2 linked regions of the Notamacropus eugenii genome follow. The protein of the gene in region 1 purifies or fractionates together with the protein of each later gene. This does not show direct contact. Links are inferred from orthologs where the notes say so. Each region holds a gene or a part of one and is shown in the gene's direction. Other genes may lie near its edges. The genes, in order: NPHP1 and NPHP4.

Evidence for each region.
Region 2: the proteins of NPHP1 (region 1) and NPHP4 purify together in Homo sapiens (co-immunoprecipitation; 6 studies listed by BioGRID and IntAct, with this or other methods). This does not show direct contact. The link is inferred for Notamacropus eugenii from reciprocal best matches to the Homo sapiens genes NPHP1 and NPHP4.

The regions. Positions count from the first base shown.
Region 1 is NC_092872.1:605,542,299-605,549,874, forward strand, and holds the start of NPHP1 (nephrocystin-1), read left to right. Parts: upstream 1-4,466; 5' UTR 4,467-4,624; coding exon 4,625-4,693; intron 4,694-7,576. UniProt on the Homo sapiens protein: Together with BCAR1 it may play a role in the control of epithelial cell polarity. Involved in the organization of apical junctions in kidney cells together with NPHP4 and RPGRIP1L/NPHP8. Does not seem to be strictly required for ciliogenesis.
Region 2 is NC_092876.1:44,038,490-44,045,714, reverse strand, and holds the start of NPHP4 (nephrocystin-4), read left to right. Parts: upstream 1-3,984; 5' UTR 3,985-4,110; intron 4,111-7,225. UniProt on the Homo sapiens protein: Involved in the organization of apical junctions; the function is proposed to implicate a NPHP1-4-8 module. Does not seem to be strictly required for ciliogenesis. Required for building functional cilia.

The DNA.
Region 1 (7,576 bases):
AATAGTTATATGTAACTAATTGTTTATTTCTGTTTTTAACAGCTTCTTGAAGATGGACGTAAAGAATTGGACAGAAACTATTTCTTCCTGCAGCTTATCGATGGATTTTTATCTTTACAATTAAAAAAGTTGGATACCTTTTCAATCTCCTTTTTTAAAAGGAGAAAATAATGTTGAATATCCTTATTCACTGAATAGTTTTGTAGGACTGAAGATCAGAAGAATCAGGTTATTTCATCTGGTGATGATGGTTTTACCTGAACATGCCATTTTGCTCACAAGGACTTTCTGAAAATAAGTGAGATGATGTGTGTAAGATGTGTGTTTGAATTTCTGAGAAGATTCCAAAGAAGTACAAAATGTACCTATAACAGTATTGTTATTGGCAAGAATCTTGTTTGTGAAAAAATTTGTAAAGCTGTGAGTTAAAGTAATTCAATATTGACTATGAGTTTTGTAATCTGTTCTTGATTTAATTTGCCAGTTCCAAGGTACTACAGTTTTTTTAAAGGGAAAAAAGTGCCCTTGATTATACTAACAGTAAGTAATACCACTCTACCTCCACAGAAGAAAACTGAGCTAATCAGAAGGTTATTGAACAAGGTTATCTGTGCTATTTTAAGGAATCTTTCCCTTCATGATATGTATGCAAATTATTTGTCTACTTGAATATATATTATAAAAGTTTAATTGATGGCTTTTATTTTTATATTACAGTCATATCCAAATATACTTCTCCTCCCCCAGTTTCTCTTTTGACAAAAAGTTCAGCAAAAACACACAAATGTTTAACACTCAGCAAAGAGCATTTCCTCATCTTTTCTTCAGGGCCACACTTGTTCACTGGAATTACATACATGTAATTACATGCAATGTTTTGCTTTGTTCTTTTTAGTTTACATGATGGTTGTGTATATTGTTTTCTTGGTTCCACTTCACAGTGCATCAGCACCTTATATCTTCGTGTTTCTCAGAACTGTTCTTTCTTTTGGTTTGTTTTGTTTTTTTTAATGCAAAAATATTCCATTACATTTATATTCAACAGTCATTTAGCAATTTCCCAGTTGATGGGCATCCACCTTGTTTGTAGTTCTTAGCCCACTTTTTGTAGTAGCAACAAATATTTTGATATTTATGGTATTTCTGTCTGACCTCCTTGCCTGAGGTGCCCAGCAGTGGTATCTGTGGATAAAAAGACATTTTAATCACTTTTTCTTGCATACTTTCAAATTGTTTTCCATAATGGTTAGACCAGTTCAGTGGTCTAACAACAATTTATTAATATTCCTATCTTCCAGTAGGCCCTCTATTACTGACTTGTTATTTTTGCCATCTGCAAATTTGCAAAGATTGCTTCAGTATAGCTTTTAACTACAGAATAGGGAAATGGAAGTTTTTATGTCCAGTTTTTTCTTCCTTATTTTCATTTAATCATCTTTCTTGTTTCATCTTATATTTCGAGTGAAGTATTTTATTGTTGAAATCTTATACTTTTGCATCAACCAGAAAAAGAGCTTGAATCTTTATCTCTATCCAAGACCTCTTCCTTCCTTGTCCTCCACACCCTTTGTCCTGTAAAGACAATCAGCTTATTTCTTCACCCCGTGAAACTGAGATGTGCTAGACTCACACCACCATAGTAATATACTCTTTGGAACTCTAAATTCTGTCCTGGGCTGCCTCTTTATGTCTGTTCTTATGAGCTTCTACCCTTAGTAAATCTCTTTTCCTCTTTGATTCCCCCTGCTCTGCTAATTATAGCATTCTATATCATTCTATTTCTTTACCTTCCCTCCCCCTAAGGTCCTACCAAACTGGAAAGCCTTCAGATATAGGCCTGGTGATGGGCTTGATTGTCATCGTCCAATGAACAACCTAGATTTGTTAAGAAGTTCATCCCTGTCTTCAAGGCCAAATAATTTGGCCATAGCAATTCCAGATGGCCTACTAAGTCACAAAATGTTTCTACTCTGCCTGAGCTCATGTTCTAATGGAGACAACATACAAATTACTAAGATATGGTTAGTATTTAAAGAGAGAACAAAGAGGACAGAATGCTGATCCAGAAAGACGAGTTCAAATCCAGTCTCAGATACTACAAGCTGTGTGACCCTTGACTAGTCACTCAACCCATTTTTCTAAAAGAGCCTGTCCTCGATCACTGCCTTGTGTTGACAGGGGCTTGCATAGCTCAATGAAAATTCCATGCAGTTACCTGGGTCATAGTGGAGAGCTCTCTCACACACAAAATCCACTGGAGAAGGAAATGGCAAACTACTGCAGTATCTTCCATGGAGTTTTCCCCATGGAGAAAGTAATTCTTGGAGTCATGAAGAATCAGACACATGAACAACAGTAGAAAGGTAATCTCAGGAGGCACTGATGGGGGAGGTATGAAGAGTTTAGGAAAGGCCACCGGAGTTGAAGCTTGAAGGAAGTCAGGGAAACTTTAATGTTGGAGGTGAGGAGGGTGAACGTTTATTTCAGGCACTGATAGTAGTAATAGGGAAATTGGGAAGAGGAGGTAGAGGAGATAAGTTCTGTGTTGTACATGTTGAGTCTGAGCTGTCTGGAACATCTAGTTCAGAATACCCAATAGGCAGTTAGTGACAAGACTAGAACTTAGAAAGGAGGTTGGAGCTGCATACATAGTTCTGGGAATCATCTGCATAGGAATAATGGTTGGAACTATGGGAGTTGATGAGGTCACCAAGCCAGATGAGAAGGGAGAAGGGAATTCTAGACAGACCCTCAGCAAACACCCATGTCCATATAGATATGTATAGATCACTGTCAACCACCGTTAAAGTGGTTAGTGTAGAAGGGAGCTGGAATTCAGTGTTGGTGAAAGGAAATGCAAGGTGTTATTGATCAGGTAGCAAAATTGGGCAGTAGTACACATGGAAAATAAAAATACAGATGGGTCAACATGGACATTGTACTACAGTTTGGACCTCACCAGCTTTTTTGGATGAGTACAGTAAAGGAAAGATAGGAGGGTAAAACATATAGGCCTTGAGAACAGACTATATAGGAGGTGAAAGAGTAAGGGGATGAGGAGAACACTTAGATTGTGAGCCTGCGTGACTGGGAAGACGGTGTTTCCCTGCACATGATCACTCAATCCTTAGGAGCTAATATGATCACCAAGTGAAATAGTATAGAGGATGAAGAGGAGAGACTTCAGGCCAGAGCCCTATGGGACATCCACCTTTAGCCCCAGTGACTTAAGATGAAGATCCAGCAAAGGAGATGGAGAAGTCAGGTAGGAGGAGAAACCAGGAGTCAGGGAAACCTAGGGAGAAGAGAGTATAAAGGAGAAGAGAGGTTTTGGCAGTGTCAAAGGTCTCAGGTCAAAAAAGACAAGGACTGAAAAAAGTCCATTAGATTTGATAATTAAGAAATCATTATTAACTTTGGAAAAAGCAATTTCAGTTGAATGATGACGTCAAAAGCCAGATTATAGGGAGTTAAGAAAAGTGTGAGAAGAAAGGAAGGGGAAGCAGCTATTAAGTCTTCTCAAGGAAGTTGGCACCAAGAAGAGGAGAGATACAGGATGACAGCTAGCAGGGACGGATGGGTCAAGTGAAGGCTTTTTTGAGGATGTGGGAGACACCGGCATGTGGGAGACAACAGGAAACGACCGAAGATCGGTGAGACAGTTGGGATGATAGAAGGGGGCAATCAGCTGAAAAAGATGGGATGGAATGCGATCGCTAATGCATGTAAAGGGGCTTACCTTGGCAAGAAGGGCTGCCCCATTTGAGTAGGGATAAAGGGATAGCGGTGGGAGAAGGCCCCTGGGTGGGGTGAGGTGAGGTGAGGAGGGGAGCGGGGGACCTTTCAGTAAAATAAGAAGCAAGGTTCTGCGGGAGAGGCCACGCTGCGAGGTTTGAGAAAGGATTCACGGTCTGGAGAAGCCGCGGCTGGTGCGGGGAGGACCGCCTCGGGGCGGGCGGACGCCGGGCAGTACACCCGATCAGCTCGGCTTCCCAGCCTCCTCTAGCTTCCCTCGGCAGCACGTGCGCAGCGCCGAAGGCGGTACAAATGCCATTTCCAGCCATGCCGGCCTAACTCGAGAACCCCGGCCTTAGGGACGTGCCCAGCGTTACCCCGCCCCTAAGGAGCACTTACTCGGCAGCTCGCGCGCCATTTACTAAGCAAAGTTAGCTCGGAGTCCGAACGGGCTCCCCGGAACATCTCCTTGCTCCCCCCCGAGGGGGATGCGCTTAATGAAGACGTTCTGCGAGCCGTTAAGGCACGAACGCCCGCAGGTCCCGCGGTACCTCCCTGGTCCCGCCTCTTCCTAGGCCTCCGGGCGGCGGGACACTTTCTAAAAGTCCCGGTGGAACGCTGCATTGCCATTGCATTCTGGGACATGTAGTTCGGAGGGTTATTGGCATGTGCTCATTAACAGGCAGCGCCGTGTCCGAGCCCGGTAGACTCTGGGGTTGGTGGGGGGGAGGCTTTCGGGGGGCGGCGGCTTCGGACGGATCTTTTCTTGGGGCTGGGCCTCTGCGCACGCGCGTTGTGATGCGTCACCGCCGGCCGCCGCCGCCACGTCGGTCTCCTTGACTACGGGCACCAAGCCTCCGGGAGCCCCCGGGACGCGGCCTCGGCGGGGATGCTGAGCTGGAGGGGCCGCGGGCCCCTGCAGGCGGTGCAGCGCCGCAGCCAGGACCTCCGACAACAGGTAGCGAGGCTCCCCGGACCCGGGCTCCCGCCTCGTCCTCCCCGGCCCCGCCGACCCGGTGCCTGGGGCATACACAGGCCTGGGGACCCCGGGACCCCCCGGCCGCCCTCCTCTCCCCCGCCCCTTCATCCCTCACTCGCTCGCTCCAGGAGGCTTCCAGCCCCTGGAGTCCGGTCTCCCCTTGCCTTTGAGCTGGCCGCACTCCATCGTGATGCCGGGCCAAGTGCGAGCTGGAGCCCATGCGGGCTGGAATGCCCGCTGCGGTCTGCGTTCCCCCAAATCGGCCTTCTCTCTCTTCCCCATACATACTGCTCCTTCTCCTGTCTCCCTATGTTTGCACTGGTTTGGAATGTACTCCCACCTTGCTCTGCTCCACCCCGTCCCTTTATTCTTTTAAGATGCAGAGCAGTCACTGACTTCTGCAGAAGACCCTTCCTGCCTCCTTCCTCCCAGACTATCCTGTAGATAGGAAACGCGTCTGTTAAGATCGCACCAGGGGCCATGCTAGGTGTGCTAAGGCTGGCAATACAAAAATACAGTTCCTGACCTCAAAGAGCTTGTATTCTAATGGGAGAAGATACAAAAAGGGAGCTGGAAGGAGCAGGGTGGCAAGGCAGAGAAGTAATCTGGAGGTGCAGGGGCAGAGTGGAGTGGAAAGTGAGCATGACTCCCTCCTGAGATGGAGGTTGTATCTTATTACTTTGTGTATGGTTGTTTTTATTTTATTTAAATATATATTGTAAATATTTGTATATAAATGTACATATATTCTGTATATATAACTATTATGTGCTGCATATATATGTGTGTGTGTATATATATATATGTTCTAATGTCTTCCCCATTAGAATGTAAGCTCATTGCAAATAGGGATTGTTTTGTTCATTGGGCTTCTGTCTTTGCCTAGCACAGTCTTAGCACATACTTGATAATCTATAAATACTTGTTGTTTGATTGAAAAGGAGGGTGGCAGTTTCCTGGAAGATTTCATGGAAGAGGGGGTGTTTAAGTTGGACATGGAAAGGATTGGTAGGAATTAAACAAACCAAAAGGGTAGGTGTGAATAGAGTCTGAGGCAAAGGCAGCACTATATCTAGTGAGAAGGCAGAGTAGTAAAGAGGATGAACGAACCAGACTTTGGAGGGCTTTGAATGCTACTCAACGTAGATAATAGGGAGCCTTGGAAGTTTTGTGGGGTTTTAGAGGACTGATATCAAATTTGTGGATAAAATCTGTTTGGTAGTTATAGGAAAGGTGGATTCCACTCAACAAGCATTTGTTAAACTAGGTGGAAAGGTAGCCTCAAAGTCAAGAAGATCTAGTTCAAGTGTTGCCTTAGTAGCTACTTAACTCTGGGCAAGTCATAACCTTTCTAGGCAATTCTCTGATACCATGTAACACAGATAAGATGCAGACCTGTGTTGGTAGAAGGGGATTTCCTTTTCTATGAAAAGTTTCTATGACACTGCTTTCTCCTGAGTCTCCTCCTACTTGTTAGACATTTTGCTGAATGTTCATCTAGATAGAGTCTACTAATTGTCATCATCCCCCAAGGCTCTCTCTTGGGCTCTAATCTCTTCTCTTATCATCTCTTCTCTTCTCTTCTCTTTTCTTCTCTTTTCTCTTCCCTTCCCTTCCCTTCCCTTCTCTTCTCTTCTCCCTCTGTCCTATTTTACTTGATGATCTAATTGGCTTTCATAGATCCAAATCATCTGTATGCAATTAGCATTTCCTAATCTCCAGTCTCCCATCTTCAACTGCCTACTAGACTCATGTCCAAAACTGAATTCATCATCTTTCCCCCAACCTCCCCCCTTTCTAACTTCCCTTTTACTCTCCAGGGAAACAACATCTTCCTTGAGATTCAGTATCTTTTGTGAGGAACTGTTGCAGTAATCTACCAAGTTGGTAATAAAGATATTCCACTGAAGACAGGACATTCTAATGAAGATGGTAACGAAGGTGGCAATAGCAATAGAGAGGATGGAGACCAGTGTCTCTGAGATTTCCACGCATCCCTGAGGCAGACAGGGTTGCAATCAAAGAACCATGCAACTTTAGAACTGCAGGGTACCAGAGAACCTTGGTGCAGTAGGATGAGTGCTGGATTTGGAGCCAGGGTCTGGGTTTGAATACTGGCTTTGGCAATTACTTCCTGTGTGACCTTGCACAAATCACTTTACCTCTCTTGGCCTCAGTTTCATTATCTGTAAAATGAAAGAGGTCCACTAAGTGACCTCTAACATCTCCAGCTCTGAATTTATGATCCTCTGTGGCTCATTTTATGCCTTTCTGAGAAGGTTTAGAGAGTGAAAAAGACTGGGCCAATTCCTTTTATCTAGTTTGTAATAGAACCAGGAATGAAAATCAGGTCTCCAGACTCCCTCTCCTCTGCTCTTGCCACTACACTGCCCTGAACAGAAGAGGTCAACTGTACCACCCATCAACACTCTGAAATCTTTCTTCAGCTAAACTCCCATTACCGTGGAAGGCTTGTGTGGTTTTTCATCTGGTCAGTTATTAAATTATATTGCTACTGACTCATCCTTTTGTAATCCATCACAGGTGAGAACTTTATTAAGGTATCTGTATTATATCCAGTTCTGTTCTATCTCTTCTAAAAGCAGGAAAAACTCTTGGAGGCACAGTATTTCACAGTGAATGAGAGCTACAGTGCTATAGTTAAAATTAAGCACTTCAGGAGCAGAAGTAAGACGACTTTTTAGAATTAGGTGAATCATCAGGGTCCAGTCAATCCAATAAGAATTTTTTTAGGCACCTAATATGTACAGGGTAACATGCTAGGCACTGGGGATAAAAGGCAAAATAAAGGAGCAGGCATTCTACTGGGAGATACAGCCTTTCTATGGACAAAAAAAAATG
Region 2 (7,225 bases), on another chromosome or scaffold:
AATGATTCCTACTCTTTGACTTTCCCCAGGATGGGTTGGCTTATCCCAGTGCAGTTGCTGCCCACACCTTCTGCATCCAAAACTAGCTTGTATTAATTTTCTAAGTATTTCATATTTACTTATTGCATCCCCCAATGGAGTGTAAGCACTTTGAGAGAAGGAGCTAGCTTGTTTTTAGCACTGTATATCCAGTACCTTGAGCGTACCAGAAATGACTTGGTATTCATTTGTGCATACTTTGTATTTAATCTGTGTCCACTTTATTGCTTTCCTTCACTAGAGGGTGAGCTTCCTGAAGGCAGGTATCATTTCCATTTTTGGTTCTGCTCCCCCAGGGCCTGGCACAGTGAAGCTGCTAAATAAAGGCTTATTGGATGAGTAAAAGACATGGCATTTGAAGGTTGCTGAGGCTTCTGTCGAGGTTGCCTGGAGAGCTGAAAGGAGGAGAAAGCCTTGGCTGCTGTCAGCAGTGGAATCTCTGGTAATTACCCAAGCTATGTCCTTGCTTAGACAGCCAACCAAGCTGAAGACACACACCCTCTCCTGGGCAGTTGCTACAGCAGGTGAAGCAACAAACAGGGCTGTATGGAGAGACTTGCCTGCTCCCTGCCTCCAGGGTCAGGATGGAAGGTGCCAAATGAAAATCTGGTGCCAGAGCTGCCTTCTGAAATCCCTGGGTTTGAGAAGAGCTCTTTCAGTCCATCTCGTTCCAAATAGATGGACTCTGCCTCCAAAGAGTCTTCCCAGCTCCCAGTCACTTGCAACCGTTTGGCAATACGTCATGAGTTATAAGACCACAGGATCATAGACTTGGAATTGGAAGAAATCCTTACAGCCTATGTGGGCCAACACCCTCAGGTTGCAGATGGGTAAACTGAGGTCCAGAGAGGTTAAAGATCACCTAAATAGTAAACGACAGAGCAAGACCCCAGCCCTCTGACTCTAAATCTGCTCTTTCCATTATACCCTCATTTTCTCCTCTTGCCTTGAACATAGATGGGCTCAATAACTACTGGTTATTGAAAAGGGGAGATTAGGCACCATGTAAAAGGCATGTCTTGAGAGCAGCTAGGTGGTGCAGTGGATATAGTATTTACCCTGGAATCAGGAGGACCTGAATTCAATTTCCACCTAAGATTCTTACTAGCTATGTAATTTTGGGCAAGTTATCTAACCCTGACTGCCTCAAAAAGAAAGGAAGGAAGAAAGAAACACATATCTTGGTAAGACTGATATTGAGAGAGGAAAGTTTTACTGCTTTAAAAATATTCAGCATCCAGAGCTGGGAGGGCCTTTCAAAGCCATGTCTCTGGACAAAAACTGTTATTTTACAGATGAAGAAACCAAGTCTAAGTGATTTGCTCACAGTCACACCATAAGTTTCAAAGGCAGGACTTGACCCCCAGGTCTTCCTGACTCCAAGTCCAGTGCCCTACCCACTGCACCAGAAAAAGAAAGAAGTAGAAAGTCCTTAGAAGGAGAGAGGAATCTTTCTATACCATCCATTTCTCTTGTGTTACTTAGCTGCTTCTACACATGGTTGCTAAGCTTGCTCTTTAATCCAGAGCCAGGAATGATTCTCCAGTCAAGGGACTGAGCAACAGTGAAGCGCTCTGGGATCTGACAATCTGGGTTCAAATCCAGCCTGAGCCAACCTGTCTGACTTTAGGCAAGGCATTTCTTCTTTCTGGGCTATGGTATCTTCATTTGTAAACTGAGGGGATTAGATAAGAATGGTCTGTCTACAGTTCTATGGCTTCAGCTTGACTCTGAAACTATTCCAGCCTTGGACCAGGGCACAAGGAATAGTAAAGAGCATGTTTACATGGGATCAGAGATCTAGAGCTGGGAGGGACCTCAGAGGAAAAAAATGACAGAAACAAAAAGCCTACTTTACTGGCCAAACTTCACACATATTAAAGTGTACCAGATTGCATGAAAAAGTCACAGAAACCTGTCCAAGTGTTCTCCCCTAGTGAAGATGTATTTATTTATTTTCATTCATCCACCCATCCAATCTGGTAAAGCATAAGTAGCAAAAACCCATGAGTGTGAGAAGTTTGATCTTTGAATGGAACTCTTCCACCAAATCTGCATGGCTGCAGGCCTGAGCAGTGGAGGGCAATTACATCTGCTGTTTTATTCAAATGAGGCGACTAGAGCAAACTCTTGCAACATGCTTCATTTTGAATCCTACAGAAACAGCAGTATTATAGGGTGAGGCGAAGTTCTGCAGAGGGGCTACAACTCCAAACAGCTGGGAGGCCAGCTGTGGTCTGAACCAGCTTCTCTGGCTGCCCTGATAGATTAATTTTCATAAATGCTAATAGGTCATTTCCCTAGGGACTATTACTTTTGGCACCTCCCCTTGGATAGATTTCAACAGAAAGACAGAGAGCAGAAAGGAAAGGAGATGAAGAAGTCCAGCTGTGGACCAGAGTTTATCTATAGGACTCTGGCTTACTGGCTATTTGCTCCCCAAGAGCTCCCTCTGATTTGAGGGTTACACATCCCTGCTTCCTCCCCCACAGGCCAGATCCCCACAGTGCAGGGGAGCAGTTGCCAAACCCACAAAATGCTGAATCACAAAGCTGAGGCACAGAGGGGGAAGTGGGGGTGGGGGGTGGGGAAGAAAGAGAAGAGTTACTGATCCCCAGACAGTCCACCCGGAGCACGGCCAGGGGACCTGGCCAAAGGGTAACTCTCCCTTGGGGCTCCTGGGAGAAGCTGGAAGCGGGGAAAGGTGAGCCCCTGGGGGGAGTCCTATGTGGCCTGGCACCTCTGGAGAGGGATGCTCTGGCAGCAGCTGCAGGAGGAGGAAGTGGTAAAGCAGCCAGGCTACCAGTCTCACAGAGGAGCTGCAGCAGGAAGGCGGAGAGGGCACGCAGGCACCCTGATACTCCACGCCGGGCCCAGGATGGGGAGTGAGAGGGCAGAGGGAGGGGACGACGGGGCCGGAAGGGCTGGCGGTGATGGTCCGGAGCCTGCAAGAGATCACAGGCTGAGGGGAGGGGAGCATGGAAAAAAAGCAGCTTCAGAAGGGAAGGGGGGAGAGGCCAGAAAGGGGTGAGAAGATGAAAAGGATCCAAGAGAGGGAGGAAGGAACATGCGAGAGAAAAGAGAAAAGGGGCAAAGCAGAAGAAACAGACGGGGGGGCTGCGGATGAGCAGGAGGTGGGAAACTGGCAAAGGGAGGGGAGGAAAGGGACTGAGGACGGGGAGAAGGGGGGGATGGAGGTGGGGAGGGAAAGAGGGCGGGTGGGAATAGGAGACGGGGAAATAGAGGCAGAGGAGAGGGAGTCTTCTAGGCCGCCCAGCCTCCTCCGGTTACGATGAATTCACTGAGGCTCAGAGAGGGTGGTGACTCGCCCAAGGTCACACAGCTGACCCACCGCAAAGGTGGCACCTGAACCCAGTCCCGGGGGCTTCGGACCCGGGGCTCTTCCTCCGGACCACGCCGCCACGCTGGGGGCAGGGAAGGGGAAGGATGGGGACCCCTCGAAGCAGCATCCAGGCCGGGCCGGCAGCGCCCGCCCAGCCAGCCCCGCTCCCGCGGCGGACGGAGCGGAGCGCGCACCGCGCGGGCCCTGTCCCCCCTCGCCCCCGCCCTGTTCACCTGCGCTCGCTCACCTGGGGGGCTGCGGCTGCGGCTCCGGCTCCGGCTCTTATTCCTAACTCCGGCTTTTCCTTCCCGCCCTCTCCCGAGGCTGAGTTCAGAGCCTCCGAATCCCGCTCACCCAGGCAGGTTCCGCTCGCAGCATCTCCACCTCGTGGGACTCCCGAGGCCACGCCCTCTACCGATTCCCATTGGTTCTGACAGTCTCCCGTCACCCTCCCATTGGTCGTGAATCCGCCAGTCATGCAAATCAGGACCGGCCAATTGCCGCAACGACTAGGCGACACCCTCCCGGTCGGGCTTCGGCGGCCTGGACTCTGATTGGCCCATAAGGGCCGCGGCCCCTGATGACGGTGCTTGTGGGGGCGGGTCCTTGGCCTGGGACAACTCCGGCCTTCCTATTCCGCCCACGTTGGACCCGGTTGCCCGGTAGCGGGTAGAACCGGCAGCCTTCTCCTTAGGTCTCCGTACTGGTCCGGAAGACATGCAGCTCAGGTGGGCTCCACTCCCAGGTCGGCCGGGCCCCTTGTGGGGAGAGATCTCCCTTCTGAAAGGCGCTTCCTTCCTCCGCGGAGGTAGCGGTGGCCCGTCACCTCGGTAACCACGCCGGGTGGCGGGCGGAACCATTGAGCCCTGAGGGGGGGATGGGGCGGAAAGAGACGATGGGAGAGGCTTCCCGGAGGTCGGAGGGCTCGGGGTCCCACATAGGAGAGGTCTGCCAAGGCCATCTTGTGACGTCCAAGAGCCTGGCTGTGCCGGGAGAGCGAGGCGGAGGGCGAGATCTAGGTGGGAAGAGGGGTCGTCCCCCCGCGAGGACAGTTGGTTTGTCCCTCGGCGATCAGGCCCAGAGGGGCCCGCGGTGGCGACCCCGACTCCTGACCCGCGCCCTCTGACCTCAGCTGCTTGGTCCAGATCCCTCTCCCTCCTATTCCCGAGTCTCTTTATTGCTTATTTTGAGGCAAGCCGAGGAAGGGCTGGTCCGGGACGTCGGCTGGGCTTTTCTCCCCTTCCAGCCCCACCTTCTCCCCTCCCCGGTTTGTGCCTCGGGTGCTGGAGGGGTGCGCCCCTTCCACCCCGGTGCCCCCGGGGTCCATGCCCCCTGACCCCAGTCCCCCAGTCCCTCCTAGTCCCCCAGACCCCTAGTCCCCCCCCTTCCCAGTCCTTGCTCCCTTCTCCCCCCTGGCTTTCCCCCTTCTTCCTCCTAGCCCTCCCCCCGAGTTCCGAACGTCCCCTTCGCCTCTGCCCCGTCTTGTCTTCGCTTTTTTCTTTCCCCTCCCTTCACTCTTTCCTCCTCTTACTCCTTTTCACTTTACCCAAGTCCTCTTGCCTTGGGAATAACCTCCCCTCAGATCCTTCCCTTTCAAAATTTCCCCATCACTCAATTTCTCTCCTTCCTGCCCCTTTTTTAAATTTTTTACCTATTCCCAAATCCTTCCCTTTTGTGATCCCACTCCACTAAGCCGGGCTAGGGCAGGCGAACAACCCTCAGCCTTCCTTTCCTCCCACGAAAATTGTCTGAAGCAGCCTCACTTTCATCATCAAAATGTGGGGAAAAAAGGCCTTTGGGACGCTGAAAACTTACCTCCTTCCCCGAGGACTCTGCTTTTTGTTCACCTTTGGCCATGTTTCAGTTGTATTCTCATGCCAGCTTTGTTGCCCTAGAATACTATTGGCTTTTCCTCCATGGATTTCCTTATGTCATTTTCTTCTCATGGCCCATATATAGATATAGATATAGATATAGATATGTACATATCTATATCTATATCTATATATAGACACATCTGTATGTATATCTATATAGGCTGAGGGTGTGTGTGTGTGTGTGTGTGTGTGTGTGTGTGTGTGTGTACACACACACCCCTTTTTCCTCACCAGCTTGTCTTTCTATCAATCTCTATTTATATATCTCCTACCTTTTCCTTACTGGGCAACTACGTGGTGCGGTGGATAGAGCACCAGTGCAGGAGTCAGGAGGACCTGAGTTCAAATCTCACCTCAGACACTTGACACTCACTAGCGGTGTGACCTTGGGCAAGTCACTTAACCCCATTTGCCTCATCCTGGGTCATCTCCAGTCATCCTGATGAATCACTGAATTCTGATGGCTCTGGAGGAGAAGTGAGGCTGGTAACCTGCACAGCCTTCCCTCACTCAAAACAGTCAAGTGTGAGTCAGGTCATTATTTCTCTGATGGCATGGTCTTCTTTGGCAACAAAGGACGAACACACATACCTTTTCCTCACTAGTTTATTCAGAATGTGTTCAAACTCCTCCACTTGGAAAATTTTGACAATATTTCCCCATATTTCTTTCATTCTCTCATTCAATGATGGAACTGAATCCAACTAATATTAATTCAATTGAGTAAACATTTGTGAAGGGCCTACTGTGTGCCAGAGAGGAAAGGGGCAAGCATGTATTAAAGGCTAGCTATCCTCTAGGCACTATGCCAAGGGCTTTACTTGTATTATCTTACTTGAATCACACAACCACCTCATGAGGCCGAGGTACTGCGATCCACATTTCACATTTGAAAAAACTGAGGCAGAGGTTAAGTGGTTTGCCCAGGGGACAGGGTTCAAATTCAGGTCTTTCTGACACCAGGCCCCTCACCCTATCCACTGGGCCACCTAGCTGCCTTACTGTCATTTTCCCTGGGAACATAAAGGTGTAGAAGAAATTCAAGTTAGATTTATTAGTCCTTGATACCGGTTAAGATAGATGATTTTGTCCTTGAAAGAAAAATATTAAATACCAAATTGATCTTCAAGTTGCAGAAGATAAAATATATACTTGAGCTAATTAAAATATCTTTATGACATTGCTTTTGGCCCACCGTGCTCATGGTAAGCATAAGTAAACAGATAATCATAAAGATAATTACTACTTATTTGCCAGCATCTGTTACATAAAGAAGTGAGACTCAGTTAAGCCATATCATCCTGAGAGCATCTGTAGATGAAACTGGAAGGAGACCAACAAGTAAGTGTGAAAGGAAACAGATTTGCCAGCTTATCTACAGCTAACTATACTCGTCACTGAATAACGGTGTAATAGCCATGGTGTTTCATTCTTTTGCCTCAGGATCTGGTCTGCTATAAAGGGGAGTAGAAATAGCACTTAGGATAATAGTGGGAAGAAACCCTGGACTTGACCAAACACATGAAGAACTCAGTCTTGGGGGTGATGTAATTTTAAAGGCATTCAAGGTTTGACTTTCAGGCTTCTTCAGAGGGCAGAGGATTCCAAAAGAATGGAAATATCATAGATGGTTTTATTATTCAAGGTGACTGAGAAGACAGCAACAACCACCAACCAAATGCTCACTTTTTGATTTCTGTGAAATCTTTAAGGAAAATTATCTCTGGCAATATGGAAAGTATCCTTGTGGAAAACATGAGAAAGGAACAGGCAGTCCTTTAGAAGTGATTTTCTCCAAGACTATTTTCATAATCACTCAATTGAGAGATGTAGAGCACTCTGTGTGTAGTGATTAAAAAAGGTGGGGGTGGGGGGAGAAATATGACTCTGTAGGGTAAAATGTAGCCAAGACTCTCAGGATTCCTTGATAGAGTCAACCAGACGGAGAACTTGGTTCCATAATCGT